4 linked regions of the Astyanax mexicanus genome follow. The protein of the gene in region 2 purifies or fractionates together with the protein of the main gene of each other region. This does not show direct contact. Links are inferred from orthologs where the notes say so. Each region holds a gene or a part of one and is shown on either strand. Other genes may lie near its edges.

Evidence for each region.
Region 1: the proteins of fus (region 2) and ilf2 purify together in Homo sapiens (affinity purification with mass spectrometry; 3 studies listed by BioGRID and IntAct, with this or other methods). This does not show direct contact. The link is inferred for Astyanax mexicanus from reciprocal best matches to the Homo sapiens genes FUS and ILF2.
Region 3: the proteins of fus (region 2) and sf3b1 purify together in Homo sapiens (affinity purification with mass spectrometry; 3 studies listed by BioGRID and IntAct, with this or other methods). This does not show direct contact. The link is inferred for Astyanax mexicanus from reciprocal best matches to the Homo sapiens genes FUS and SF3B1.
Region 4: the proteins of fus (region 2) and sf3a3 purify together in Homo sapiens (affinity purification with mass spectrometry; 3 studies listed by BioGRID and IntAct, with this or other methods). This does not show direct contact. The link is inferred for Astyanax mexicanus from reciprocal best matches to the Homo sapiens genes FUS and SF3A3.

Annotation. Positions count from the first base shown.
Region 1 is NC_064410.1:45,266,979-45,274,315, forward strand, and holds the start of ilf2 (interleukin enhancer-binding factor 2 homolog), read left to right. Parts: upstream 1-4,325; 5' UTR 4,326-4,440; coding exon 4,441-4,445; intron 4,446-6,079; coding exon 6,080-6,139; intron 6,140-6,958; coding exon 6,959-7,001; intron 7,002-7,093; coding exon 7,094-7,198; intron 7,199-7,337. UniProt on the Homo sapiens protein: Chromatin-interacting protein that forms a stable heterodimer with interleukin enhancer-binding factor 3/ILF3 and plays a role in several biological processes including transcription, innate immunity or cell growth.
Region 2 is NC_064426.1:19,752,889-19,760,087, forward strand, and holds the start of fus (RNA-binding protein FUS), read right to left. Parts: upstream 3,026-7,199; 5' UTR 2,862-3,025; coding exon 2,849-2,861; intron 2,429-2,848; coding exon 2,401-2,428; intron 1-2,400. Other genes in the region: si:dkey-16l2.17 (serine protease 33), read right to left, coding at 5,390-5,650, 6,261-6,427. UniProt on the Homo sapiens protein: DNA/RNA-binding protein that plays a role in various cellular processes such as transcription regulation, RNA splicing, RNA transport, DNA repair and damage response. Binds to ssRNA containing the consensus sequence 5'-AGGUAA-3'.
Region 3 is NC_064418.1:3,449,514-3,457,022, reverse strand, and holds the start of sf3b1 (splicing factor 3B subunit 1), read right to left. Parts: upstream 3,014-7,509; 5' UTR 2,937-3,013; coding exon 2,909-2,936; intron 812-2,908; coding exon 639-811; intron 495-638; coding exon 393-494; intron 282-392; coding exon 167-281; intron 18-166; exon of another isoform or gene 1-17. UniProt on the Homo sapiens protein: Component of the 17S U2 SnRNP complex of the spliceosome, a large ribonucleoprotein complex that removes introns from transcribed pre-mRNAs.
Region 4 is NC_064410.1:279,037-286,186, forward strand, and holds the start of sf3a3 (splicing factor 3A subunit 3), read right to left. Parts: upstream 3,013-7,150; 5' UTR 2,885-3,012; coding exon 2,789-2,884; intron 2,256-2,788; coding exon 2,208-2,255; intron 2,104-2,207; coding exon 2,051-2,103; intron 1,961-2,050; coding exon 1,855-1,960; intron 1,745-1,854; coding exon 1,672-1,744; intron 1,347-1,671; coding exon 1,255-1,346; intron 1,169-1,254; coding exon 1,086-1,168; intron 848-1,085; coding exon 709-847; intron 142-708; coding exon 73-141; intron 1-72. UniProt on the Homo sapiens protein: Component of the 17S U2 SnRNP complex of the spliceosome, a large ribonucleoprotein complex that removes introns from transcribed pre-mRNAs.

The sequences.
Region 1 (7,337 bases), on a different chromosome or scaffold from region 2:
CATTACGCACACATACACACAAGCACACACACACACACACATCCACACACAAAGCACAGCATATTTTTGCACAGACCTGCACAGTATGAGTCAGACAGAGGTGCTGATGTCATGACGGATGCTGTTGTCATGGCAGCGGTGCGGCGGTCGGACACATGCTGTAGTCTGATGACAGTAGGGGAGACGTGTGTATGCCGTCCCTCAGGGACACATATACACACACACACACACACACACACACACACGCACGCACACACGCACATACATACAAAAGTGATCATTCTTACCCTCTCCCAGGGACACCTATTCAGTTTGAACCAGAGATATTTTTACCATCTGAACTTTTGAAAATATAAAATTTATCTTTTATTGGAGCTATGTCAAGATCAAGGTTTTAATGAACAAATGAATAATTAAAAGATGGTAAATGCTGAGTTTATGAAAAGTATATAAAGTTATGTACAGTGTTTCTTCTATATACTTTGAATCAGCAGCCAACTGCTGCAAAATCACTGCCCCTGCTGCTTTAGAATTTTATAAAATGTAATTCAGTTTTTTCTTTCAAGATTTCTTCCTTTTTTCTTGTCACTGAGGTGGGCTGCATTTGTTTCATTTAATATTATTCAAAATTAGGGGTGGGAATCACAGGATAACAGGGCATCTCATGATACAATATTATCACAATCCATGCTGTCCATGGTAAAAATGGTATCAAACTACTTTGACTCTGTGATACTTAATATATCACAACACAATTCTCTATGGTTCTTCACAGCATCTGTGTTACTGAAGAAGATAAAATACTCCTAAATAAGCAAATAGCAGGAATTATCAATTTATTGGTGAAGGTTTCACAGAATTGGACAACTAATGTGGAGTAATGAAACAGTAAGTCAAATTGGGGGAGAGTTTAGAGTGAATATGTTTTAACAAATATATATAGATATTTGATTTCACATACCAATATAATCCAGTCTAACCAATACTGCAATATATTGCAGTATCCATATATTGTCCAACCCATACTTAACAGCAAGTATAAGAGGCACTTTAGTGTACTGTGAATACTGTGATGACTTTTTATACAGTCAGGCCTAGGGGAAAAAGCTAAAGTAGAAAATAACTGATGTTTTTTTCTTTCATGGACATTATGAAATCAAATTTGATTTTTTTTGATGGCTATTATCTGAAGCATTACTTTGTATTTCTAATATGAATTTATACAATGGGAACATAAAATGGAAGAATTGTCCATACAGGATAAACATATTCCGATCCAGGGATACATTTTACAGGCCCTAATGAGCAGATTACTTATACAGACACAGACACAGTACGATCCACTTCTAACTCATAGTTTAATGCTAAAAACATTTTAAACGTTTTCTCACTGTGTATTCATTTGTTGGTCTATTGGAGTTACTTTGTTTTCATAACTAGTGGTACAATTACATTATATACATTTTCTTTTGTAGACTCCTGTAGACTTTTTTTTGTTTAAATGTGCAGAACTCCATACTAAAATCTGTTCATGGGTAAACACTGGATTTAATTAATAGTGACAGACACTATTGAGAGGAAATATTTCATACCTGTCAAGTCTCCCGTTTTGGCCGGGAAACTACCGTATTTTACTCCTCTTTCCCGCCGTCCTCCCGTATTAGTATTTTCCCGTAAATTTCCCGTATTATATTAAGATTAAAAAATATATATTATTAAGGAGACAGGGAGCTGACTGCTCTGTGTCTCTTAACCAATCGTGGAGCCGGTTCAAGGAGAAAGTCCCGCCTTTCAGGAGAAACAGCCAATCAGTTTGCAAAGGAGAGTCAGTGTGGTGAAGCCCTCAGTCGCTGTGAGTTCAGGCAGCTAGTCGGAGCTGCTGATGTTAAAACATATCTGGATTTTCAGCGATTTTTCTTTAAGAAAGGTCTAATCATGTAAACTGTGAGGAGATTTTTCTGATAGCTGCTTAAAAATACTCGTCTCTGAAATAAAACACACAGATTAAACCTTTTAAAATAAAATAAAAATTACAGCTGACTCAGCTTAACTAAAATGTGGAGAGGACCGAAATGAACTGATCAGGGGTGGAGTGATCAAAAAGAAGAAGTATTAATTAAAAAGTATTAATTGTGTAGGCCACTTAGGACTAATTTTACTGATGGAATATATGTGGTCCATGTCCTTTTAGTAAAAGCTCATAATACTATTTTTAGGTCACCTACAGTCATTTTGCAGAATTTGTGCACCCTTTGTTCAATTTTAAATCTATTAAATAAATAAAAAATATATCATATAAAAGAGTGCATTTATGGCAAAAAAGACATGAAATCTTAACTTTTTTTAATATCTAGAAAAGGATTTTAATTTGGCTGTATTAAAAAAATCACATGTAGAAATGTCCACAACATTTCAGATTCTGATAATCTAATTTTAGTGTGTAAGTGGTTCACTTGTGGTTATTTTAGATTTTTTTGTAAACCTGTCTTAAAATGTAAGGGATACTGAACCTTCGTTGGGCTGGAGGGACGGCTTTAGGCGGACAGAGGAACATATCCCTTATTTTTAAATCTAAAACTTGACGGGTATGATATTTATCTAATATTTTATACCAGTTGAGGTCTTTTTTAGATGAACACTGACCAATAATGTGCTGTTTGCTGCCATCTGCTGTTTATCCTGCATAATCTTACACTTTCAGAGCACCTCACAATTCTAAAGGTTTGGGCACCCCGTGCCAGATTAATTCCATGTTGACCCGATGTGACAGTAGGTTTTAATTCTGAGCAACAAGCAGCAGCCCCGATTCCTCTAATTTAATGAGTCTTCCAACATCTGTTTGACTGAAATGTAAACCTGCAACCACAGAACCACCGTTCTGTCGAATTGTCCTACTTTGTCGAACCGTGCTGCCCTAATGTATATTTAAGTGTAAAAATACAAAAAAGCACTATTTTAGGGCCCAGTGAAATTCCAGTATATGTACGTTATTAGATTTGGATAGCATAAATCATTGTATCATGGCAAAGGTATGGCAAATAAAGCTCATTACAAACTGCTTTTGTATTTATTTATAATAATTGTAATTATTAGTTTTCATTTACACTTTTGTGCAATGACAGTGCGTCCCTCTAAAACAGATTAATTATAAATAAAAAACACGAGATATAATTAAATTGTGTATGTCAGCGCATGCGCAGTACCTTTGGGAAGCATGTATCGATGGGTAGAACAACCTGCTCACTGTGGACAGGTCTGACACCCCTGCTTTACAGAGAACACACCTCTACTGAACATGCACTTTCTCACCTCAGACTTGAAGGGGTTGATTCTCATTTTGTTCTGTTCACACTCAGCTGCAAACCACTTAAGTGCACACTGGATGTGCCTACATGTACAGGCCGACATGTCAACATAACCTGCAAACAGCAGAGAAACAAAAGCCCTTACTGCCTCCACAAGAAGACTAAGACTAAGATCTAAATCTTATCAACCCCTCCTAAACCCTCACACCTCCAACCTCCAGCCCCCACTTTCTCTTTCAGGTGGACCTGCATGACTCAAAACTGACAGTAAAGCATTAAACAGAGCTTTATAATACCATTCACATACATTAAATCCACAGATGTCACAGCTAGCAGAGAACGTTGTAAGAACATTTAGCAACGTTTTGAAAAGGTAAAATTTCTGCAATGTTACAGAAATATTGGTCCAGGAATGTTCTGAAAACATACAACATAATGGTTTGCACTGCAACGTTAATTAAACGTAACTTTCCCAGCTAGTTGAACACTAACATTATGGAAATGTTTAAAGTGACATTCCCAAAATTGAAAATGAAAACATTGACACAAGTGACATTGCAGGGATATTAACACAACATTAAAAAACGTTTAATAAAGACTGGGACAAATCTAATCTGATGTCAGTCATTTTTTATAATTTAATTCAATATAAGAAACAATTAAAGTGTTTTAATTGTGAAATAAAATAGAAAAGTGCATGCAATTAAAAACGTATAAAAAGCACACACGCAATTTAACAACCATGTATTCATTTTGTACCAGTGAAAGCTATCGTGCTAAAATTGTTTATGGGTCATTGGCGTGTTAATATTAATTGGAATTATTTATTTGTGTTTATTTTATTCTTTGTAGCTGTTATTATTTTTTATTAATTTATTCGTCCATTCGAAATAAATAATATTTGGTAGTAAGAGGTATTTTATTTAGGTGTTTTTTCCCGCAGAGAAGGGGGTGCGGTAGGTTAAGCATGCAGGGACTTTTATTTTGGGGTACTTCTGCTCTTTGTCCGTTTCCCCTGCTGCTCTTTCAGCTTTAGCTCAGCTCAGCTCGTCTCAGCAGCAGCGGCGGCTCCGGGTGCCGGTGACCCATTTTCATCTTTTCTCTGTTTTATAAAGCTGCCAACACGTCTTACGCAATGAGGTGAGATATCTATCTGCGCTGTTTTGTGACATTCGTGTTTTTTGGGGTGAAATGCGCAGTAATATCGTTATTTATTGAGAATGATTTATCGGCGTTTTGAGGGCCTTTAGCCTACAGGCTAGCATGAGCTTAAACTAGCCTAGCTCGCTAGTTTAATATCTGGCGTGGTGATTAGCCTGAAGTCAGGGGAATTGCTCGGTGTTACTGTATGATGTCTTGTTAAAGGAGTTGTTTATTCGTTGGTGTTTTAAGGCTGGGTAAATGCAGCTATTTGTGTGTTTAATCGTCGTCGCGTCGCTGTGTGTGAATGAATGAATGAAACCCCAGTTTAGCCGAGTGTAGCTAACAGTTAGCTGGTATTAAATTGATGATGGGTAGCTAATATTGACCTAGGTTAGCTGTGTATTTAAAATAACCAGTCTGTGTTCTTGGAAAACACATGAATTTGTTTCATTTCAGTGTGCTTAGATTTGTAATTGGTCCATTTTTTTAATGGTTTTCTGTGTACTAGTTCAGCCTGGCTTAAAGATAGCTAGCTAGTCCTGGACAGGCTGCTTAATTAACCCTCTATGGCATGATGTTGCTCTCAGGCAACAAAACATATTTTATTACACCATAGCCTTTATTTATATAGCTTATTTATTATGTATTTGTTATTTTTAATGTAATGTTAAATGGCATGTCTGCGTTCTAAATCATGAGGCGTGCAAGTGGATCATAAATAAAAATAATGTTACTTAGATGTGCAAGAATTATGTAAAGAAGCATATTTGGCTATTTATATTCTAATAAGTGCTGGACGTTATGACCAAAAATCGATGTCACATTTGTTTCAAGATTCTGACGGCTTTACTGTATTTTTTATTGTATTTTATTTTATTTGCATGACTGGGCTTTTATATAGGTTTATGACTTAATGAATGTTTATGAATACAAACATTAAGGCTGTACTATTGGGTGTATTTTGTTCCCCAAAATTACACAACCTATGACTTCATTAGTAGAAAAACAGATGAATGTAAACAATAGACCTTAGAAAAAGATGTGCCTACAACTTCCTTTACAAAACTAAATAAATAGTTAAAACTAAACAGTAAACAGACCTAAAATACTAAATATTTAGTATTCAAGAGCTATTTCTAAAAAACCTCAATAACATCAAGCAATACACAATTTTAATATTTTAGTTTACAATGTTATTATTGAAGCCATTAGAGGAACTACAGTATTAAAGCCTCATTTTCCTTCTTTCTGTAGTGTGAATAAATTCAGTGTGCAGTAATATTATCCATATGAACCGGTATGCTGCCCAGCACTAATTCATTTTATGTTCTTTTGCTTTTAGCTTAATAAAACAAGTTATTTTTCAACATTATATAGACCTCTTTTGGCATCGGCATCATGATAAAGCCGTGGGGATTCAAATAATCAGCAAAAGTTCTCAAAGAAAAAAATCTCCCATATAGTGGTGTGATTTTTTTTTTTTTCTCCCCAAAAATATAACTCATACTATAGATTGTTAATGCTATGCCTTGAACAGTAGCATCAGCTGTGGGTTTGTGTGCACTAACCTAGATTATGTTACTGGACTAATCTAGCCAGTTATCTAACATGCTTCTTTCTTCTTTCAACAGAGGCGATCGTGGAAGGGGCCGTGGTGGTCGCTTCGGCTCCCGTGGAGGTCTAGTTCAGGGGTAAGATAATGTGATCAAAACCGTTAGATTTGCTTTGTGTTAATTTTGGTTTCCAAGCTGGGTCTTGAATTAATGGATCTCACAATGTGTACAGGCTCTGGGGCTAACACAGTTTGAGAACCATTGGTTAAAAACATAAGCCTAGACCCACTTCTAAGTATTGATATCAAATTTAAAATTACATCTGATAAATTGAGTGCGCAGCTCATTCTCATTCTTTTTTACTTTGTTCAGACAACTGTAAGTATTTTACAGCTAAAATCCTCATGTAACTCAAATGACAACAATTTCATTACCTCTATTCTAATGTTTTGTCTTAGAAACAGTGTCATCAGAACTAGTTATCTAAAACCTTTAAGTGAAGCATTTTAATTGTTAAAATTGTTGGATTAGACCTGAAGCACAAATTCCTGCATTCTGTAAGTAAGGTCAGATGCATTAACAAACTGACATGTGATCCTGTGTTAGGGGTGTATGTTACTTAGGGGTTGTATGAGTTAAAATGACAGACAATGCTCATAAGGGGTGTGTGACATGTCAATATTGGTTCTTTTGGGTTAACTCAGAAGATTTGATATTAAGCACAGTGATTTCTTTACTCAAACTTATTTAAACAGGGTAATGAACTGCAAAATTGAATTAGGTCTGTTTATGCAGACAACTCCAAAGGAACCCCTCCCTGATTTGGTGGTCTGTCGTGGCTGATATTTTTTCAGTTTTTATTTGATGTTTACATGTATTCCATCAACAAAGACAAGGTGCTTTAAGCATTGCTTCAGTTCTGCTATGTCATTATTTACATTTTTGTTTGGCTTTCAGGTACCGCCCTTTTGTCCCACACATACCGTTTGACTTTTATGTTGTAAGTAATTTTTTACTTTATGCTTTTAAGGCGCTTAACATGTAGATACTGTAGTGACAGTTGTACTCATAAACCAAATTTTGCTTTTCCAGTGTGAGATGGCTTTTCCACGAGTGAAGCCGGCACCTGATGAGACTGCATTTAGTGAGGCTCTTCTGAAGCGCAACCAAGATCTCACTCCAACACCATCTGAGCAGGTAACCAAGTTTTAACACTACAACCCAGCAATGAAATTGTGTGGATAAAATCAGGGGATAAAATCGGTCACAATCAAAATCTGTCTGTGTACGAGTATATTGTGGAATTCTGAGGTTTAGAGAAACGATAGTAGCTTAA
Region 2 (7,199 bases):
AAAGCTGAATGTGTGTAGCTTAGAAGAATGTAAACTAAAACTAAAATTAAAACATATTCTGGTTTGTTTACAAAATAAATATATGTGTCTGTAAAGCTTTATTATATTACGTATAATATTAATTATGCAATGTTAAAAAAAACATTTTAAATGAGGTGTGATCAACCTTTTGATTGGTACTGTGTATTCCTGTAATTATATTTTAATGATACAAAGACCACAAACTGCTGTCTTTCTAAATTAATTATTCTCTCAGTTTTACAATACACTGTTTCAATTTAATTAACCGATCTTCCAAATTTAAGAAAGTGTTCTCTCAATCTTATAAACTGTTCCTTCAATTCAAAAATTTAAAACATAAAAATTTACCATTTAATTATCTGCTAATAAGGTTTACATTCTTTCGCCACTGACTAATATGTACGATTGGATATGTGTCCATTCTGAGAGGACAGAATAGAATTTCTTCTAGAAATTAATTGTCAGGTATAATATTTTTGTCTCTTTTAGTTTTATTTGGTTCCTTATATGGGCTCCAGCAGCAGCAGCGGTAGGAGCCGTTAAATCAGGGGTGTCCAAACTTTTTTTGTTGGGGGCCAGAAGGAGAAATATATTTGAAGTCACGGGCCACAGTCCGTAATTAAACAAATAATGAAATATACCACTTTAAAAAATAATTTTTCCTGATTATTTCATTTACACACCATTTTACTTGACTTACTATCTTTATCTTTGACAGTGTTGTGTAAACTAAGATTTTTCAAATTGATGTTTAATTTCATGATGTCTCTTGATATTAAACTCCTTAATTACGGCAACTTTTAGACTCTTTGGCCCCGTTTTTCTACGCTAGAAATGCGCACCCTCTCCGCTTTTAGACTCTTTGGCCCCGTTTTTCTACGCTAGAAATGCGCACCCTCTCCGCTTTAAGACTCTTTGGCCCGTTTTTCTGCGCTAGGAATGCGACCCTCTCCGCTTTTAGACTCTTTTACCCCGTTTTTCTGTTAGAAATGCGAACCCTCTCCGCTTTTAGACTCTTTGGCCCCGTTTTTCTACGCTAGAAATGCGCACCCTCTCCGCTTTTAGACTCTTTTGCCCCGTTTTTCTACGTTAGAAATGCGAACCCTCTCCGCTTTTAGACTCTTTGGCCCCGTTTTTCTACGCTAGAAATGCGCACCCTCTCCGCTTTTAGACTCTTTTGCCCCGTTTTTCTACGTTAGAAATGCGAACCCTCTCCGCTTTTAGACTCTTTGGCCCCGTTTTTCTACGCTCGAAATGCGCACCCTCTCCGCTTTTAGACTCTTTGCCCCGTTTTTCTGCGCGAGGAATGCGACCCTCTCCGCTTTTAGACTCTTTGGCCCGTTTTTCTGCGCGAGGAATGCGACCCTCTCCGCTTTTAGACTCTTTGGCCCGTTTTTCTGCGCGAGGAATGCGCACCCTCTCCGCTTTTAGACTCTTTTACCCCGTTTTTCTGCGCTAGGAATGCGACCCTCTCCGCTTTTAGACTCTTTGGCCCGTTTTTCTCGGGCCACAGTCCGTAATTAAACAAATAATGAAATATACCACTTTAAAAAATAATTTTTCCTGATTATTTCATTTACACACCATTTTACTTGCCTTACTATCTTTATCTTTGACAGTGTTGTGTAAACTAAGATTTTTCAAATTGATGTTTAATTTCATGATGTCTCTTGATATTAAACTCCTTAATTACGGCAACTTTTAGACTCTTTGGCCCCGTTTTTCTACGCTAGAAATGCGAACCCTCTCCGCTTTTAGACCCTTTTACCCTGTTTTTCTGCGCTAGAAATGCGCACCCTCTCCGCTTTTAGACTCTTTGGCCCCGTTTTTCTACGCTAGAAATGCGCACCCTCTCCGCTTTAAGACTCTTTGGCCCGTTTTTCTGCGCTAGGAATGCGACCCTCTCCGCTTTTAGACTCTTTTACCCCGTTTTTCTGCGCTAGAAATACGCACCCTCTCCGCTTTTAGACTCTTTGGCCCGTTTTTCTGCGCGAGGAATGTGCACCCTCTCCGCTTTTAGACTCTTTTACCCCGTTTTTCTGCGCTAGAAATACGCACCCTCTCCGCTTTTAAACTCTTTGGCCCGTTTCTGACACCTAGCGTTCAAACGTTGAATCTCACATTATAAAAACCTGTTTAACAGCGGGCCAGCTTTCATTCTATTACTAAAATACCTCGCGGGTCGCTCCAAAAAAGGAAAAGGGCCGCAAATTGCCCGCGGGCCGCAGTTTGGACAGCCCTGATGTAGAATGTGTTGCTGGTGGTTTTAAGGTGATGTTTAAGGGGGTCTTGGTCTCCTGAGCTGCTGCTGCTGTTTATTATAGAGGAGCTTTAACACCAGCAACTGAAAAACCCCGAGAAACACAGGGACACACTCACCCTCCATGGCCGGCAGTCTGGGGATAATCTGCAGGGATAAGTAAATGCTTTAATTAACAGACAAACACTGATAAATATCTGCACAAACACTCGCAGAAATATCTATAAAGGTAATAACACTAAAATATCGAAGGTTTTGAGCCCCAGGTCTGAAAGTAGGTCAGTATATCACTTTGAATAACAAAATGGCGGAGCCCGACATCTTCTTGTAGGGGGTGTTAGAGAATAAAAGCCTGTTAATAACAGAAACGCTGTTTTCATGCGCTTAAAACTAACGAGCAGTGACTCAAAAGGCCATGTGTATTGTCAGTACACCTGAGGGACTGCAGGCAGATTTTCTGGCTAGGTTAGTTAGCTTAGCTAACGCTACCTCCGTTATCAATGAGAAACGCAGCTTAAGGCTGGAAAACCCGAAACTGAACAGAAACACAGACAGACAGGGACTTACCGCTCGACGCCATGACCAGGTTCACACTTTAATAAAGTGTAAAACGCCTGACTGTGCTGTTATTTTTATATTCGGTGATAAAGCTAAATAAATACTGTGTAGTTCAGCTTAAATTACAGAAAATAGAGCTCCGCTCCTCTCAGTGTGCCCGGCTGAAGTGACACCGGCCTGTGCTGCTCACTGTCGGCCTGAGGGTGGCGCTGCGCACCTGGAAAAAATTAAGAGACCACTTCAGTTTCTGAATCAGTTTCTCTGATTTAGCTATTACAGGTATTTTTGTTTAAAATGAACAAAGTGGTTTTATTCTATAAACTACGGACAACATTTCTCTCAAAATCCAAATTAAAATATTGTCATTTAAAATATGATATCTATATGCAGAAAATGAGAAATGTCTAAAATAACAAAAAGATTCAGAGCTTTCAGACCTCAAATACTGCAAAGAAATCAAGTTCATATTCATAAAGTTTAAAGAATTCAGAAATCAATATTTGGTGGAATAACCCTGTTTTTTAAATCACAGTTTTCATGCGTCTTGTCATGTTCTCCTCCACCAGTCTTACACACTGTTTATGAATAACTTTATGCCATTCCTGGTGCATAAATTCAAGCAGTTCAGCTTGGTATGATGGCTTGTGATCATCCATCTTCCTCTTTATTATATTCCAGAGGCTTTTAATTTGGTGGTAATTAAGTGGTCTCTTTTTTCCCAAATCTGTATTTAACAGATTGTACCATACATGTAAAAACAAAACAAACAAAAAAAAACTTTTAGACACTTTTATTAGAATTTAATACTGCTTCGTGTATCTGGCGTGACCCTCTTGTTCACCAATAACCGCAACTCAACGTTTGCTTGCTTCAGGTCCTGCCACAATATTTCTACTAGATCAAAATAATTACTTTACCTATTAAGTTTATTTCTTGGGGGTCGCTTAGATCAGCAACTGGGGTCGCTCCTTGTCTTGCTGCATGACCCACATTCTCTTGACACTTACTCTTTGCAACCTAGCTATTCACACCATTGTTGTTTAATGTTCTCCTGATGGTGGACCCATTAACATTAACATTGTAAGAGAGCCAATGTGAGCCAATGTGTAAAAGGCCCTTAGTTGCTTAGAAGTTACCTTTGGTAAGCCTTTGTGTTCTCAAAGATCTTTGTCTGTACAAACTTCTTAGATACTATGAAACTTCTTCATAGTTTTGCAACCCCCTCAGAAATCTTGTTTATTAATGCTTGATACACTTACCTTCCATAAACATTTATTGTGAAGGTCAGACTTGTTCTATAAATAAAAGAGGATGCTCACTCACTCCTGATTGTCATCCCTATTATTGAAAACCCCAGACTCAAATTTTACCATGAAATTATCTACAAAACTTAAAAGGTTCACATTCTTTTTCCACTGACAAAGTAGTGTAGTATTTTTTCAGTAAATTCCTGTTCCTTTCAGAGCCTGGAAAACGTTACATAATGAAAGGATACGCTATGGATCTAATGAAAGATGCTAAATATAAAAATACAAATTAGCTAAATCTAATGAGCTAATGAGGTACCTTTACAGAGATAAAAGCTGCAAATAAATAACCAAAAAAATCAGGCAACACTTAAGAATGTAATGTATTTGATTCCTTCATCAGATGTATTCATTCATCAAATGTACATTATCCTGCTTCAGGACACAGGTCCTTCATAAACACTGCACAGCTTAAAAACCTAATTCAACATTGTATAGACTTTTAAGAAGTTAAAAAAAAATTAAAAGCATTGAACTTATTGGAACCTTATGGATAGCAATGCCCACAACAAATGCTCAACAGAATAGTAACAGTATAGTATAGGAAACAGTAAAGTTCAGTCACATCGTTATTTCACTTACTTCAAAGATAAAAATTAAAATTATAAAAATACAATTTAAGGTATTTTGGTTATGGTAACTGATTCCTTGTATGAAAAGAAACTAAACAAAACATTTAAAATGTAGTGTATATGGCAATAAATGAAACATTAATCAATCAACATCTGCTTTATAAACATACAATATTAAAATCAATTATCATTGACCCATCAGACAATCATGCATCATTAAATTAGCTTTGCTTAACTTTTTTTTGTAAATCGAAGAATGTAGTGTAGTATAAAAACATATCTTTACTGTCCCATTTGGAAACTAATCTGCCCAAACAGCCGTTACTAAAATCAATTAGGAACATTTGCATTGATTAGCAATAACTTGTAGTCACCTTTATCATAGCACATGAGAAATGGCTCAGAAAGAAAAGACCAGTGTTTAGCTGATGTAGTTGAACATTTACATACTGTAGTTCAGTATTGGCTGGATTAGCATTCAAAGGCATAGTTTCTCCTCTGGTAAAAGTGATCACTTTTCACAATCCAGTATTTCCAATTTCCAGAAATTGTCCATTTATTACATATAATACTAACCCATTGTTAATAATTATTTATTTAAAACATCTTTTTGTGTCTTGGGGGATCTTCCATTTCCTACTGTCTTTTGACACAAAACTACACACTTCCTGTTAACATGTCCAGTGTGTCCCCAGTAGCACTGATGCTACACTTAGACTCAGCACCAGAAGGTTTTCAGCCCCACAAATCCACGCTTGTCCCAACAACTGGGCTTCAGGCACCGTGGAGCGGATCAGTTTAGCAAAACTGGACACTTTGGCGTAAACTCCAGGTCTGTTCTGTTGAGCGCATCCCAGTCCGAAACTCACAATCCCTGCCTGAATCCACGTCCCATTGCCCACGGGACAAACAAGGGGTCCTCCAGAGTCGCCCTGACAGAAGAAGGAATATGAACGTTATATGATGATTTATAAGACCTTAACCTTTCTTTGACCTAAAATATAGATCACAATTGGCACAGTATAAACCACAGATGGCTGTTTTGTCAACAGGGATTAAACCTGCAATCTCTCTATAGCCCTTTCTGGACAGGATTAGTTTCTCAGGGGGACTACTCAGTAATAAAACACTTGCATCCGCGCTGCAATAAAAAACAGGAGGACCAGTGAGTTTTTAGGCTTTCTCGGTTTAATGACATTGCGTTCAGTAACTTTCCTATTGAAACTCAAGAGATGTAATCCGGACGGGACTAAAATTACCGGAGGACCACGGAGCTTTGTGAAAAACAGTAGGTTATTCAGCCTGTAATTTTCTAAGAGGACGTCTGAGAAAAACACATACATGGTCGTTCAGAACAGGAATAAAATTACAGAGGACCCCCATAAAAGAGAAAATTACCCCAGGACCCACTGAGAAACTAATCTCACCCAGATAGGGTTTAAGACAGGGCCAACACCCAGGAACCCAGCTGCTGTCCCCTTTTTTACTGACAGAAAATATGGCCTAGACCTTTATTGTTCAAAGCTCCACTGCAGCTCCTACCTGGCATGAGTCTTTGCCTCCTTCTTGGTATCCAGCACAGATCATATCTGAGAGAATTTCCACTTTCTCTGAGTTGGATGACTGGATCGCGTACATGGTGTTGCACGAAGCTTGGTCAATTATGGGCACTCCAACTTCCCGTAGCGTTCCAACACCAGAGAGAGGGACTGTGCAGAGAAGGCACCACAGTTACTTAGAGAACCCAAATATGACCAGAATCAAGAAGGACTTGATTATGTAATGTCACAGAATATTTGGCAATATATCAAATATTTCGGCCCAAATGGCCAAAAATTAATGCTTTTGATGTTCGGCTGAATATGTAAAAAAACTAAATAGTTTATACTATATAATAACTAATTCATTTTAAACTATAAGAGCCCAGACACATTTCTGAATTCTTATACCAAATTAAAAAAATATTCAGATAAATTCAGTGAGCAGCTCATTCATGTTTTTCTCTTATTGTGGCCACATGACTGTGATTGTTTTAAAGTTAAATTATAATATACTATAAATGATAAAACAACTATCTTATACCTTGTATTTTAACATTTTGATTTAGAACTTGTGTCAGAACTTGTTAAATGATTGATTAAAACATGCAAATTGATAAAATGGTTGAAGCAGCTCTGTATAAGCCAAAAATACACTTTTAAAATAATTAAATTTTCTCTCCAGCCCAAACCCAACACTTCCATATTCTCTAAATTTATTTTTGTAAAGTCAGATGAATGTACACAGATTCACAGACTGTCCTGTGATGCTCTCAGGATGTTCAGTATGTGTCACATAGGGAAATTTTTGATTTACAATGACAGACAAATTGTTGTAAAGAACCAACTTTTCAACATCTTTGGCTTATTTGGTCTTTGTTTTTTGTAGTGTTTTCTCTAACATTAGGATTGTGTTTAGAATCTCTCCATCCTTCCTCAGGTG
Region 3 (7,509 bases), on a different chromosome or scaffold from region 2:
TCAATAATCAATGCTTAGTCTAAATCTGGGAAGCAAGTTGTCGTCAAGTGCTTGAAGGGTTAACCACCAACACAGTGATATAGAGCAGGATTATGTATAGACACTGCATACTCCTCAGCATGGACATGGATGGGAGTATGAAAGGGAACAGCTGTGTGACATTTACCGTCTGCAAAGGGGTCATGGCGCTCAGGAGAGATGATCATCTTTTGTCTGCGTTTCTTGTACTCATCTTCACGGTCCGAAATCTTCTGCGGTCTGTGCTCAGCAAAAGGATCATACTGCAAAAAAAGGAGAGAAAAAACAAGTTAAAGATAATTAAACTCACCTAATGTTGCATATTTTAAAACATCTATAAATAGGAAGTGTAACAAAGAGTTGCATTAAATTACCTGCTCATCTGACTGAGGAATGGCATTGAGTATTGCCACTGGAGCATTGTACCCCGGCTTCTTCTGCCCAAGTAAACTCGTGGAAGAGTCCTCTTCATCATCCTTAAGAAAAAATAAAAATGTTGGTAAGATACAGTCTGTAAAGGTTTTGTCATATTTTAAGCACATATGATTTAGAAAATGTATGTGTTGCTTCTCCATGACTCATCTTATAAGCATATCAAATTAACTATTTGTACAACTTACTTCCTCCTGCTCGTTTGCTGCAATAGAGGTGACATATCCGGCAAAGCGGCTGTCGCTGCCTCCGTAAATCTCCTGGTCGTAATATCCAGTGGAATCAAGGCCGACACCCTGCTCTCCTTCCTCCAGCAGAGCTGCCTTCATCCCCTGGATTTCCAGGATCTGCGCCTCAATGTCTGAAAATAGAAAACAGGGAAATACCGTATGTTGAAAACATGACATCTGTTCAGACCCACACACCAGAAATGTACACAGGTATACACAGTAGGGCATGCAATTAATCTGGACACCAAGAGTGCACATACACAGCATTAAAGCATTAAAACTAATCAGATAGTTTTCAAAACAGTCCATGATTTGAACTTTATTAATTATGTCTGATCACAGAATATTACAGCAACACAATCTTTTTAAGCAATTGACAACTAAAATAAATGTAACTTAGTTTTGCTAATATTGTATTCATTCTCTTATTTACATTTACATATACACTATTAAAAGCTTAATCTTAAGAACACTACATGATCAACCATGATTAAATCACAAAAGACTGTAGTGATTTATTCAATATTTCTTTTAATCAAGTGACACCTCTAATAACCAACTTCAAACTTCAAAACAAAAAACATATTAATCATATAATTTATACGTCTTTGCTTCTTTTATGTGTATTTTGTGTTTTTTTTCTGTATTTGCTGCTTGTCTTGTTTGCTTCTGCTTATTTTGTTTTTGCTTTTTTTGTCACTTCACCACATGATCAACCATGATTAAATCACAAAAGACTGTAGTGATTTATTCAATATTTCTTTTAATCAAGTGACACCTCTAACAACCAGCCTGTTATTTACTAGGGGTACAGAATACAGTCAAAATTTATACCAACCTATTTTATGTATGAAATGAATATATGTTAATTTTGGTCAATACGATATAATACTAATATAACTAATAAACCAATAAAAAACATTTTTAGCAATGTAAAACTCAAAACCTGTGGCGTATGTCAATCACCCACCTGGTTAATATAATAAAAATATTATTTTCCGCACACACGTTTTTGTGACAAGCAGACAAAATGAAGCAGTATTAGCAGACTCTGCCGGTTGAAGACTTTTATATTTTATATGGACATTTTTATTGTATAAACCATCGCGAAACAGTGTTCTAGATCACGTTAAAATTGTAAGAATTAGCTGTTATATAGCCTCAATGGCTCTAGAACTTGTTTTTCCAGTGCAGTAGGCGGGGCCAAAGGTTTCATGTGTTTATAAACGTATTCAATAGCTGGTTCATGAACTATTCTGAAGGACAAGAGCTCTTGAATAGTGTTATGTGCAACAAAACATTTTGAAAAATAAAGAAAATTAAGTTACATGGTGTTTATTGTAGCTTAACGGATGCAGGGTCTGAGAGGATTACGTTAATACTTAGGAAATCGTGTTCTTATTGCAATGCCATTAAGCTACAAATTATTCGACGTTAGCTATTTAGGTAACGTTACTAACATGTTTGATACCAACCAATATAGCCATAATATAAAAAGAAAATATATATATAACCCAAAGAAACCACTAATAATGTAGTCAAACCGCTGAATGACTTCAGACATGCTGCCCATGTTTTGTTAGCATCTTAGCTAGTCAAAAGTAGTTAGCTTAGCTAACTAATCTGCACCAACGGGCTACGTACTAAACTATCTAACTCGCTAATTTTCTTGTTACTAATTAAGTGAGCCTTCTGCTAACGCTATTTTGAGCCACACAAAATATAAAGCTTACACTAAATCAGTATTAAACCGCTAAAACGAAGGGAATCACGCTGTATTTTGTGTAATGGGAGCAGTTAGCTTTAGCTGGGTTAGCTCACAGAGCGCCATTTTGAGCAGGGCCACTAACAGGCCGCGCACAGCAGCGCTGGATCCTGCGTGAGGGTTCTGTTTTTAATCACCACAGGCTGTCCGACTATAATTTCCCTCAAATAATGCTAAGGTATTCTTTTACACATTTTTCCGCATGTATAAAAAGATACAGAGCGAGTCTACAATGATTTAAACCGCCTGTATCTGCGGTTCATTGGCGGCTTTAGTTAATAAAGCGCTCAGTCGCCATGTTCTCTTCTGCGCCTCGTTCGCACTACGATGGTTCACTTCGCAGCAGCAGCAGCAGCTAATTTCTCCAGTCATGCCACGAGAACCAGCCAGCAAACCGTTAAGAAAACGTATATGTAGCCTGTTCACACCGCCTGTACTGAATATATGTAATATACGCGCTTACCTTCATGTGTTTTGGCGATCTTCGCCATCGTTGCGTCTGTGTGAAAGCGCCCGGAAGGCCTCACTACTCAGACTATGCTCAGCGGCGCATGCGCAGTACCCACAATGGGCGTAGACATAAACACGCTCAGAGGCAGAATCACTTACAGAAGCTTTTATTTTAAATTAATTTAACTTATTTGGGCAGTTAATGTACAGAGGTACTTTTTGTATACACCTTAAACAAAATTGAGACATTAAATACATTAAAAAACGTATATACATATACCTCCTGGTAGTTATATACAGTGGGGGAAATAAGTATAAAATATAGCCGCAAGCGGCAATCATCGGGTTCAAGCACCAACTGGCACAATGGTGCATACTAGAGAACTGAATGGTGATGTGTAAAAAGGGCTAATATGATTGGAGATGCCCTGTCACATTTAGAGATTATTAAAAAATTTTCACCTGTTATTAATGTTGAGCAGAAGCCTTTCAACGTGATCAGTGCTTAAATTGTAAATTGTAATTGTAATGTCAATCTAGTGAAGTTTGTAGGATATTCATCAAGTGAGTTAGATCTAGTCAAAATGTGTCTACATGTTATTGGTATTGATCAGGTGGTTTCAACCAGAATGTTTACAAAGTGGTGTTCAGATTGACCTTTTGACCTTTGCAAAACAAGCTGAAATGTTTTACCAAACAAGTTTACATTAACACAAATGAGTTCATTGTCTGACATGACATGTAATTACAAAGTTATTCTAAATCTAGTTCTGAATTAAATGGCGCTTCATCAAACAGCAACTGGCACAATGGTGCCTACTAGAGCATAGGATGGTGATGTGTAAGAAGGTGTAACACAATTGGAGACACTCTGTCACATTGAGAAATTATCAAGTCTTTCACCTGTTATTAATGTTGAGAAGAGGCACAAAGGAGTGCATGTTCTGATATGACATGTAATTACAAATATATTCTAAATCTAGTTCTGTATTAAATGGCGCTTCATCAGAGTGATATTGTACAGAGGTCTTTGACATTGTGAGATTACAGCAAATACTGCAGAGTTACAGCAATTTAGGTTGAAAATTTCAAGGACGCTCAGACTGCTTGATGCCTGGACACTATTGTATGTGAAATTTTCACAAATGTTTTTATTGAATCTTAACCTAGAGACTCTACAGTGTGCAACAAGTCTGAAATGGCGGTGATAGGCCAAATATCCAGAGACTAGTATCAATATTGCTATTTTCAAACAATTAGCAGTTCTGAATAAACAAAGCACTTTTTAAACATAGTTGTATTGACAAATTTGTCAGAGCCACTGTACTAAATATGGCACAAACATTTAGATGTCAAAATAGTATAGTATGATTGACATGTATTCGATTTGTTGGAACAGCGCCCCCCAGTGGTCGGATTGTTTCAGCAATTTGCAGGTCACTACAGCGTCTCCACCTGAACATAACTGCCAAGTGTCATCCAGATTGGGCAACATTCAGCCTGCCAAAATGTCTGCTGAATGCTGATTGGCTGATGGTGTTCAGCCATGTTGATTGATTAAGTTGCCCTTTGAACATCCTTTAGAGGCTGTATGACAGATTCTGCATGCAAAGTTTCAGCTTGCTAGGTTGCACGGTTGCTGAGAAACAGTGTTCCAAATTTAACAATTGAAGTGAATGGGGCATATATCCGGAAGGACTAATTTGCATATGGTGGCCATATTGTTTACAAATTTCAACTTTTTCTTAATGAATATTGAAGGCCATGCTCTCACGAGTGTTTTGATACCAAACATGCCAGGATTGATCAAAATTCCTAGGACTAGTTCGCAAAAGTATGTTTTGCATATTATGCAAATTAGCAAAAAATCTATATAGACGGAAGTGCATGGTCCAAATTGGAAAGTTGTAGGTATTGACCCAAGGAATCCATCAAACAAAGAATTTTGAATGTAGGTCTTATGGTTTTTGAGTTATTGAGAAAATTGTGAAAAATGAATTTCCTTGTTTATAGCGCCACCACTTGACCAATCGGTGCCATTTTTGTTGTCCACCGAGATGCACTGATCCTACATCTACCTACCAAGTTTCATTTCTCTATGACTTACGGTTTAGGCTGCACAACTGTTTTTACAGGAGAAAAAGAATAATAATAATAAGAAGAAATATAGCCGCAAGCGGCAATCATCGGGTTCAAGCACCAACTTGCACAATGGTGCCTACTGGAGCATTGAATGGTGATGTGTAAGAAGGTCTAATATGATTGGAGATGCCCTGTCACATTTAGAAATTATCAAGTTTTTCACCTGTTATTAATGTTGAGCAGAGGCCTTTCAACCTGATCAGTGCTTAAATTCACATGTAAATCTAGTGAACTTTGTAGGATATTCATTAAGTGAGTTAGAACTAGTCAAAAGGTGTCTACATGTTATTGGTATTGATCAGGTGGCTTCAACCAGAATGTTCACAAAGTGGTATTCAGATTGACCTTTGAACCTTTGCAGAACAAGCTGAAATGTTTGACCAAACAAGTTTAAATTAACACAAAGGAGTGAATGTTCTGATATGACATGTAATTACGAAGTTATTATAAATCTAGTTCTGAATTAAATGGCGCTTCATCAAGCACCAACTAGCACAATGGTGCCTACTAGAGCATAGGATGGTGATGTGTAAGAAGGTCTAACACAATTGGAGACATTCTGTCACATTTAAAATGATCAAAAGTCTTTCACCTGTTATTAATGTTGAGAAGAGGCACAAAGGAGTGAATGTTCTGATATGACATGTAATGTCAAGTTATTCTTAATCTAGTTCTGTATTAAATGGTGCTTCATCAAAGTGATATTGTACAGAGGTCTTTAACATTGTGAGATTACAGCAAATACTGCAGAGTTACAGCAATTTAGGTTAGAAATTCCAAGGACGCACAGATTGCTTGATGCCTGGAGAGTATTGTATGTGAAATTTTCACAAATGTTTTTAATGAACATTTACCTAGAGACTCTACAGTGTGCAGCAAGACTGAAATGGAGGTGATAGGCCAAATATCCAGAGAGTAGTTTCAATATAGCTATTTTCAAACAATTAGCAATTATGAATGAACAAAGCACTTTTTAAACATAGTTGTATTGAGAAATTTGTCAGACCCACTGTACTAAATATGGCAAAAACAATTAGATGTCAAAATAGTACAGCATGATTGACATATACTCGTTTTTTTGGAACAGCGCCCCCCAGTGGGCGGATTGTTTCAGCACTTTGCAGGTCACTACAGTGTCTCCACCTGAACATAACTGCCAAATATCATCCAGATTGGGCAACGTTCAGCCTGCCAAAATGTCTGCTGAATGCTGATTGGCTGATGGTGTTCAGCCATGTTGATTGATTAAGTTGCCCTTTGAACATCCTTTAGAGGCTGTATGTTAGATTCTGCATGCAAAGTTTCAACTTGCTAGGTTGCACGGTTGCTGAGAAACAGTGCTCCAAATTTACCTCTTGAAGTGAATGGGGCATATATCCGGAAGGACTAATTTGCATATGGCGGCCATATTGTTTACATATTTCAACTTTTTCTTAATGAATATTGAAGCGCATGCTCTCACGAGTGTTTTGATACCAAACATGCCAGGATTGGTCAAAAATCCTAGGACTAGTTTGCAAAAGTAGGTTTTGCATATTATGCAAATTAGCACAAAATCTATATAGACGGAAGTGCATGGTCCAAATTGGAAAGTTGTTGGTATTGACCCAAGGAATCCAGCAAAAAAAGAATTTTGAATGTAGGTCTTATGGTTTTTGAGTTATTGAGAAAATTGTGAAAAATGAATTTCCTTGTTTATAGCGCCACCACTTGACCAATCGGTGCCATTTTTGTTGTCCACCGAGATGCACTGATCCTACATCTACCTACCAAGTTTCATTTCTCTATGACTTACGGTTTAGGCTGCACAACTGTTTTTACAGGAGAAAAAGAATAATAATAATAATAATAATAATAATAATAATAATAAGAAAAATCTTAGCAAAAACAATAGGGTTCTACGCACCTTCGGTGCTTGAACCCTAAAAATCTTAGCAATAACAATAGGGTTCTACGCACCTTCGGTGCTTGAACCCTAAAAAGTGTAGTTGGCAACTTCAAAACAAAAAACATATTAATCATATAATTTATACGTCTTTGCTTCTTTTATGTGTATTTTGTGTTTTTTTCTGTATTTACTGCTTGTCTTGTTTGCTTCTGCTTATTTTGTTTTTGCTTATTTTGTTTTTGCTTTTTTTGTCACTTTAATAAGTGACAAAATCAGATTTCAATCAGATTTCAACTGGGGCCATTGCTTCTGCTGTCTGAGATGGATTAAATGTTGGCTAATCAGGCCCCTAGTCGTTTATTAATTGAATGTTGTATAAAAATGCTGCCTGCTAAGGTGCTTTTATCTTGCAGATTTGTGAAAGCAACGTAGATGTATACTTTGCAGCCTTAAATATATTACATATATATATTTAATTGCCAGTGTGTCAGTGCAGTTATGTTACAATGCTTGTAGTAAATTATAGTAGACCAGAGATTGGAATATTGAAATATTGTGCATATTAAAGGAGTTCTGTAAGGTGA
Region 4 (7,150 bases), on a different chromosome or scaffold from region 2:
ATGAAAGTCCTCAGGGGGCAATGAACTATTAAAGCTATTAAAGCTGTGTGCGTTCCTGATGGAAAGTCTTACCTCCCAGGAGGAGAAAGCAGAGAGGTCCAGATGAGCTCCAGCGTGGGTCAGAGCGCTGCTCGCTTCTTTCTGTTTCACACAGAGACGCAAATAAACAACTAACTATATAATCTTATTCCTTTACATTTACACAAACTGGTTCACTGGGCTTCCGGCTTCATAGCATAGCATTACTCAGTACTGCATCTATTCACTCCACTAACTCATTCAATCATTTTATCTCATTTTCCTTTGACAAAATCTGACATGTTCTTTTATGATTTGGTATAGGACTGGGCGATATGGATAAAGAAAAAAATATATATACATATATATTTTTTGTTTAAAGAAGCTGATTGGTCAGTTGAGGTTAGAGTGGGCGTGTCTGCTCTAAAAATCTGTGTTTAATTCAGTAGTAATTATTCAATCTGCAGCTGTTTATCAGCGCTCTGATCTCAGAACAGGAGACCTGCTGGTTCTGAACTGTCTGTTTCGCCAAAAATAAGAATCCCAAATAATAGCAGATAATATTTGCTGTAACGCTGTAAACTCATGATGAGATGTTGTTGTGTTTCGGGTTAATTTAATTTTAACCTTAAATTACTGTGGAATTAAACTTTTTTTATTATAACAAACACATTATAAAAATAAACCCACCGGCCAGCCCGGGAAGGTTCCGTTCTCCCACTTCTTCTCAAACTCAACCAGAACTTTTCCATACAGCTCATTCTGATCCAGCAGAGGCTTCACCCGGTCTGTGTAATCCTGCAGGTACTCCAGCAGCATCTCCAGATACCTGACCAACACAAAACAAGCTCAGTACAGGATACCTCCACTGCTTACAGGTAGAAATGGTCTTAAATTTAAAGACATCCACTGTATACAGTATATAAAATAAATACACATACACATATAAACATTTATTAGTATTGTTCAATGTAATAATAGCCATCTATAATCTATTAAATAAAATAAACACTGTAATATACGACACAACATATGGTCACAATGTTCCCATGTGAAATTCGACTTACTTTTTGTACTCTGCATTCTTTCTATCTTTGGAGATGTCAAAAAGCTGATCAAACGAAGACAAGTAGGAGATATACTCCAATTTCTAAAACAGGAACAGAGGAAAACATCACATTAGCAAACAAACAGATAATATATATCTGTTAAAAACAGAAAAAGTGAAAATCATACCTCAGCTCCTTTCAGGTTGATGTATTTCAAATAACAGTCATGAAGATCTAAATAGCGTCCGTAGCCTTCTTCATCAGTGAACTCCACCAGATCTGCACAACACAGAAACACAGTGATGTTAAAACATAAGCCGTGATTCGGGCTGGTTAAAGGATACATGCGCCCATACATACATAAATATATAATAATGTTTCTTAATGGTTTACAGAGGTACAGTGCGACTTCTTATTCATTTTCTTTATTCATTCTTTAAAGTACACACTCTCTGTGTGTTTTAAATGTGTCTTTATGACTCATGTAGTTACTAATGCAGAAATATTGACTATATCCTTTGTACTGTCAGAATAGTTACTGTGATTTAGAGTAATAAATATAAACACAGCAAGTTTTACAGAAGCAATGTTAATATTTACTTACTTTGAGCTTCCTCACTGGGGTTATCTCTGGCCTTCACCAGCTCCTCAAACTCCACCGACATGGGCACACAAATCTGTGAAATTAAAGAAATGTGTAAAAAGGTTTTAAACTGTAATTCACACCCTAAGATAATGTACAGCAATCATGTAATTTTATTTAAATTTAAAAGATAGACTGCAGTACCTCATTAGGATGTTTCCTGTGAAATTCCTTGATCTGTTTCAGTCGGTTATAGAATTCAGCAAACTCATTTGGTCCAGATATCGCGCTCAGCTCTTCCTTCCGCATACTAACAAGACGTAATTACAAGTTATGATGAACAACACTGTTTAGTATCAGTGAAATAAACTGCAGTCAGAGAAAAACAAGCAGTTCTTACCCATCTTTATCATCGTAGGAGTCTCTCAGGTTTCCGCTTACTTCCATATGTCTCTGTGTGTAAAGAAAACAAGAGCAGACATGCATATAGATATAAATAAATGATATAAATAAATGTAGGCATAGGTTTTAATAATACAGAAGTAAAAGAAACTTACGTCCAGCATTGCTCGTATTCGATGGTCGGAATTAATCTGGTCACGCAACTGAAAGAGATGAATAAATAAACAGATAAACAAGTTTAAGTTTACAGTATATTTTACTTTTGTTTTATTATTCTACTCTGTTGTAAATATTGTTCTTTGCCTGTACACATGTTCTCTGTGACTTGACAATAAAAATCTTGAATCCTAAATCTTAATAAATTCTTGAATCAGAACAATAACTGATGTGTTTATAAAGCTACACTAAGCTAACTAACGATAGATGGATATTTTGCTAGCTTCGCTTAGCTAGCACCAAAAAAACTACAAACTAACGACAATTACGTTAAACATATAGAATTCAAATGTCTATAAAAGTTAAATATCCAAACTAGTGCTGTTTATTTTCCTCAGTTGATCAGATTTTACACTGAAATATACTTTATTTTACACAGACATCTCCTGAGTGAGCTCTGTTAGCATGCTAAGGCTAGGTTAGCTGGAGCTAATTAGCAAGTAGCTACTCTTCTCCATTCAAACACACAGAGGATTAGCATTAGCACCGTTAGCACAGATAGCCGGTTAGCTGTAATTACCGTGGTTTTCTTGTGCAGCATCTCCTTAGTTTTAGCGTCCATCAGTCGCTCCAGCTCCTCATGGTAGCGGCGCTGCTGCTCTAAAATCGTCTCCATGATTAAATAAATCGCCCGAATCCCGGGATTTACCGGCGGACTGTGGGCTGTTACCGGACTGAGCGCAGCGCTGCTACTGAAACCGGCTAAACTAGCGGACGCGCGTGTAACGACACGACCCCCGGTCCCGGTCCGCCGCTCACTCACTCCCGCCGGTAAACCGACCGAAACGTTCCGCCTCCGCCGCGCCGCAAAAACACAACACAAAAGTACTAAATACCTATATATGCCCATGTTTATTCAGTAATAAACATTCTCATTGTCTGCTGATATCTGTACCTCTTGCACATTGTTTTATTTTTCATTACACTGCCTTTTTTATCTGATAGATTCTAATCCATATTTCTCACATATTTGTTATAAATATTATGTATAGTATACAGTGATATGTGTTTATCTGTAGATAGGTTTTTACCAACTAATTAATACCCTCAATGCAGGAAAGGACTATAAGAAAGCAGCAAAGTATTTTACAGAACCGTTGAATAAGAAAAATTTAAAACCTTTTTTTAGATTTCAATCCGTTATATTTTTGTGCATACATTAAATTTTGCCCTTTATAGTAGAGTAAATTGGATGCAGTGCTGGATACGGTTCTCTTACAGCTGAAGTAACATGATGAAGTGTGATGTGGTGCCCTCTAGCTGCCCGTGATAGTGAGATAAACTGTGTGTGTACAAGACCTGGTAAACTGTTGTCAATGATGACACAATGTTGGAAAGCTTTCTCATATCCTATCTGTTTTTGTTTTTACATTTAGCCACTCCCACTTTATATTTTTTCATGCTTGGCCTTCAAACAGCCTGAGACTGGAAATAAACACATGTATGAAAGGTTTGAGATGACACTTTAGTTAAATTAGAACACATACCACAAATACATAAAATTGCATGTATAACTTTTGAATCTATTGAACGATTAAAGATATAATATGCGGAAAATAATTAGTTCAATCTTTTTTGAGCAAAATTCATATCCTTTTATGAGCCGTTTGAAAGCCTCCCAAACCTGCATAAAACCACCCTGGTTCCACCCCTCACCCATCAACCCCCACCAGAACCCCGCCCACTGGATCAGTTAAAGAAATGCCATTTCGGTCTGCTGGTTGAGAACCTCAGACAGAACACCGCAGTATTAGCCAGCAGACTTCGTCTGAGGGAGGGATCTGTACCTACTGTCCGGCAAGTCAGCAGATGAGGGGGATGTAATTACTTTCAAATAATGACTTTTGTGCTTCTCTCAGTTAAGTGTTTTGCCATTCAGCACAAGCTAACACTAATGTGTGGGAAAATGCTCAACCTATGGTGGTTTGGCCCAACACACTAAACTAATAAAAGAAAATTTTATTTGGACTTTTAATAACTTTTTTATACAGGTAGGCACAATACAGGACAACCAATCAGAACCAAAGTCAGTTTTAAATGTTATCTCAAAAGCATTTAAATACTGCTAGTTTTCATGTTGAGAGCTTGCTGGTGTGAATCTCATTTTTCTGATAAAAACAGAACCACCTGAAAGCAGAATAATCCCATAATTCCTGAGTGAGAAAGATCACAGAGGGAGGAAGGCACTTCGCTCAGTTAAGCACTTTTCAACATGTTGCAACAAATCCCAGGAGGAAGAGCAGGATATTAGGAAAAGATAGGAAAACAGATCAGATTTAAGGGGAGGCTCAGCTGTTAAAACCTGTCTGCCTTATAATAGTTTACATTTCAAACACTAATAAAATAAACTGAACAGACCAACTGGAAATACTCCAGCTTCAGGATCTGGGTTAACATCGAGCTGTGACCATAAACTATAGATAAACTAGTGAAAATATTCTCTTTATTTATCTTATCTCACTCTCTCTTTATATCTCTTAATTTCTCTTTAATTCAATTCAATTCAAAGAAGCTTCATTGGCATGACTAAATGATTAATTAAAAAAATAACAACTTTATCTTTCTCTTTTTCTCTTTATTTCCTTCTCTCTCTTTATATCACCCTCTTTCTCGTTTTCTCTTTCCTTCCTTCTCTCTCTTTATATCACCCTCTTTCTCTTTTTCTCTTTCTTTCCTTCTCTCTCTTTTTATATCACCCTCTTTCTTTTTTTCTCTCTCTCTTTATCTTTCTTTGTTTATGTTACCCTATTTCTCTCTCTTTATCTCTCTCTCGTTATATATCCCTCTCTCTTTATCTCTCTATTTATATATCTCCATTTTTCTTAATCTCTCTCTCTCTCTTTATAGCTCTTCTCTTTCTCTTATTCTTTCTCTCTCTTTCTTTCTCTTACACACACGCACACTCTCTCTCTCTCTCTCTCTCTCTCTCTCTCTCTCTCTCTCTCTCTCTCCCTCTCTCTCTCTCTCCCTCTCTCTCTCTCTCACACACACACTGTCTCACCGCGCGCTCGGTTGTGTGTCGGTGATCAGCAGTAGCGGTAGTGGGAGGAGAAGGAGAGCGGGACAGAGAGCGCAGCGCCGCCGAGCTTCAGTGTCTCTCCGCGCGGAAAAACCCAGCCCGACCCGGCCCGACCCTCCAGCGCGTCTCTCTCAGCCCCTGCGCGGCGGACAGGTGAGCGGGTTTGGGCTGGCTGTGGAGGGGGAGCCGCGGGGCTCGGTGTTGGAGCCGCGGGACTCGGTGGGGGAGGGCTGCGGGCGGTTGTTGTGGTTTTATGGCCGTTAAATAGCGAAACTACGCCGCTGGTGTTCGGCTGCGGCTCGGTGTCCGCGGAGTTAGGTGTGTTAGTTAGGTTAGCATTAGCTAACAAAAACCACACATTATCTGCGTGTTATCGGTGTTGGCGGCAGAAAGCGGCGGTGACCGGCCCCGGTGGTCGAGGTGGCTCCCGGTTGTATCCGGTGAGGTGAGCCGCGGGTTGTGTTTAATCCGCGGGGCGGGCCGCGTACCGGAGACCCGCGGGGCTGAAGAGCTGTTAGCGGAGTTCAGCTAAACAACCGACACAGATCCATAAACACATAATAACAAATACACACACACACACAAACACACACACATAAAACACATAAACATAAACACACAACAAAAGATATCAGGAAGATTCGATCACACCCACATGTCGGGGAGAAGGTGTGTGTATAGTTTTTATATTGTGTGTGTGTGTGTGTGTGTGTGTGTGTGAGAGTTTTGTCCCCTGCGACACAGGATTTCACACTGGTCATGGATTCCTTTCTGTTTACACACACAGTATAACCACGAGCTGAACCCTGACAGCAAAGAACGTTGAACAAACGTTGTTTTCTTTGGTCACATTACATCATCATTACATCATTTTAAAGTTTAATGAAGAAAAACTACATTGAAACAACCTTTATTCGTCATTGCCTCACAGGCATCGGTTAATGCTGACATTCTGACGTTGAATCAACGTTCACTTAACAATGTTCCAGACTTTATACACTCACAGTATTGCCATGAGCTGAAGCCTGACAGCAAATAACATCAGACAGACATTGTTTTCTTTCATCATGTTTTTATATTTTTTTAATGTTTTCCACGTTTGGTGGAAAAACAACCTTAAAACAACCTTTATCGAACATTACCTCACAGGCATCTTGAAAAAAAAAACTGACATTGAACCAATGTTTATTTAGTTAAAGGCTTTCAATGGTTGGTTCTCTGAATCCATTATGCTTTTAGACAAAAGGTTCTCTCCTCAAATGTCATCTTTTTTTTACAATATAAGAGCACAGTTTAGGCTGTAAGAACTATATAATACAAACATACTTGATTTAAGCAAATGCTGTTTATTATAAACAGTACATATAGTAAAACGATAATGTTAAAACAATGTTGAAACAATGCTGTATCAGCTTAAAACTGATGTGCGCAAAAATAAATCAATACAGACGTGAGATCAGCTTTGTTTAAATGAATTAGAGATGGAAAAATGAACAAATGAACAATGATTCCTTTTTGCTATCTTGTCATTTCCAGGGGATTTTAGCATTTCCCCAGAGAACCCAAACAAAGCTGTTACGGGTGACGCCGCATTACAGTGGTGTGATGTGATAACCAGAATCGATAATGTCCTCTGTGGAAATTTCTGCCTTGAATGAAACGATGCTTCTCCCCCAAACCCCCTTTTCTGAACAGCTCCCCTGAGAGGAAAACATGAAAGGAGGCACCATTGTGTTATAGTATTGTAATACTAGTGCAATAGTGTGAAGACATGTGCTCACTCCCTCTTTTTCTGAAATCAAGGGCATTAAAAAGGAGTTTGGCCCCGTTTGCAGCAGTAACAGACTCTGAGTTCTGGGAAGG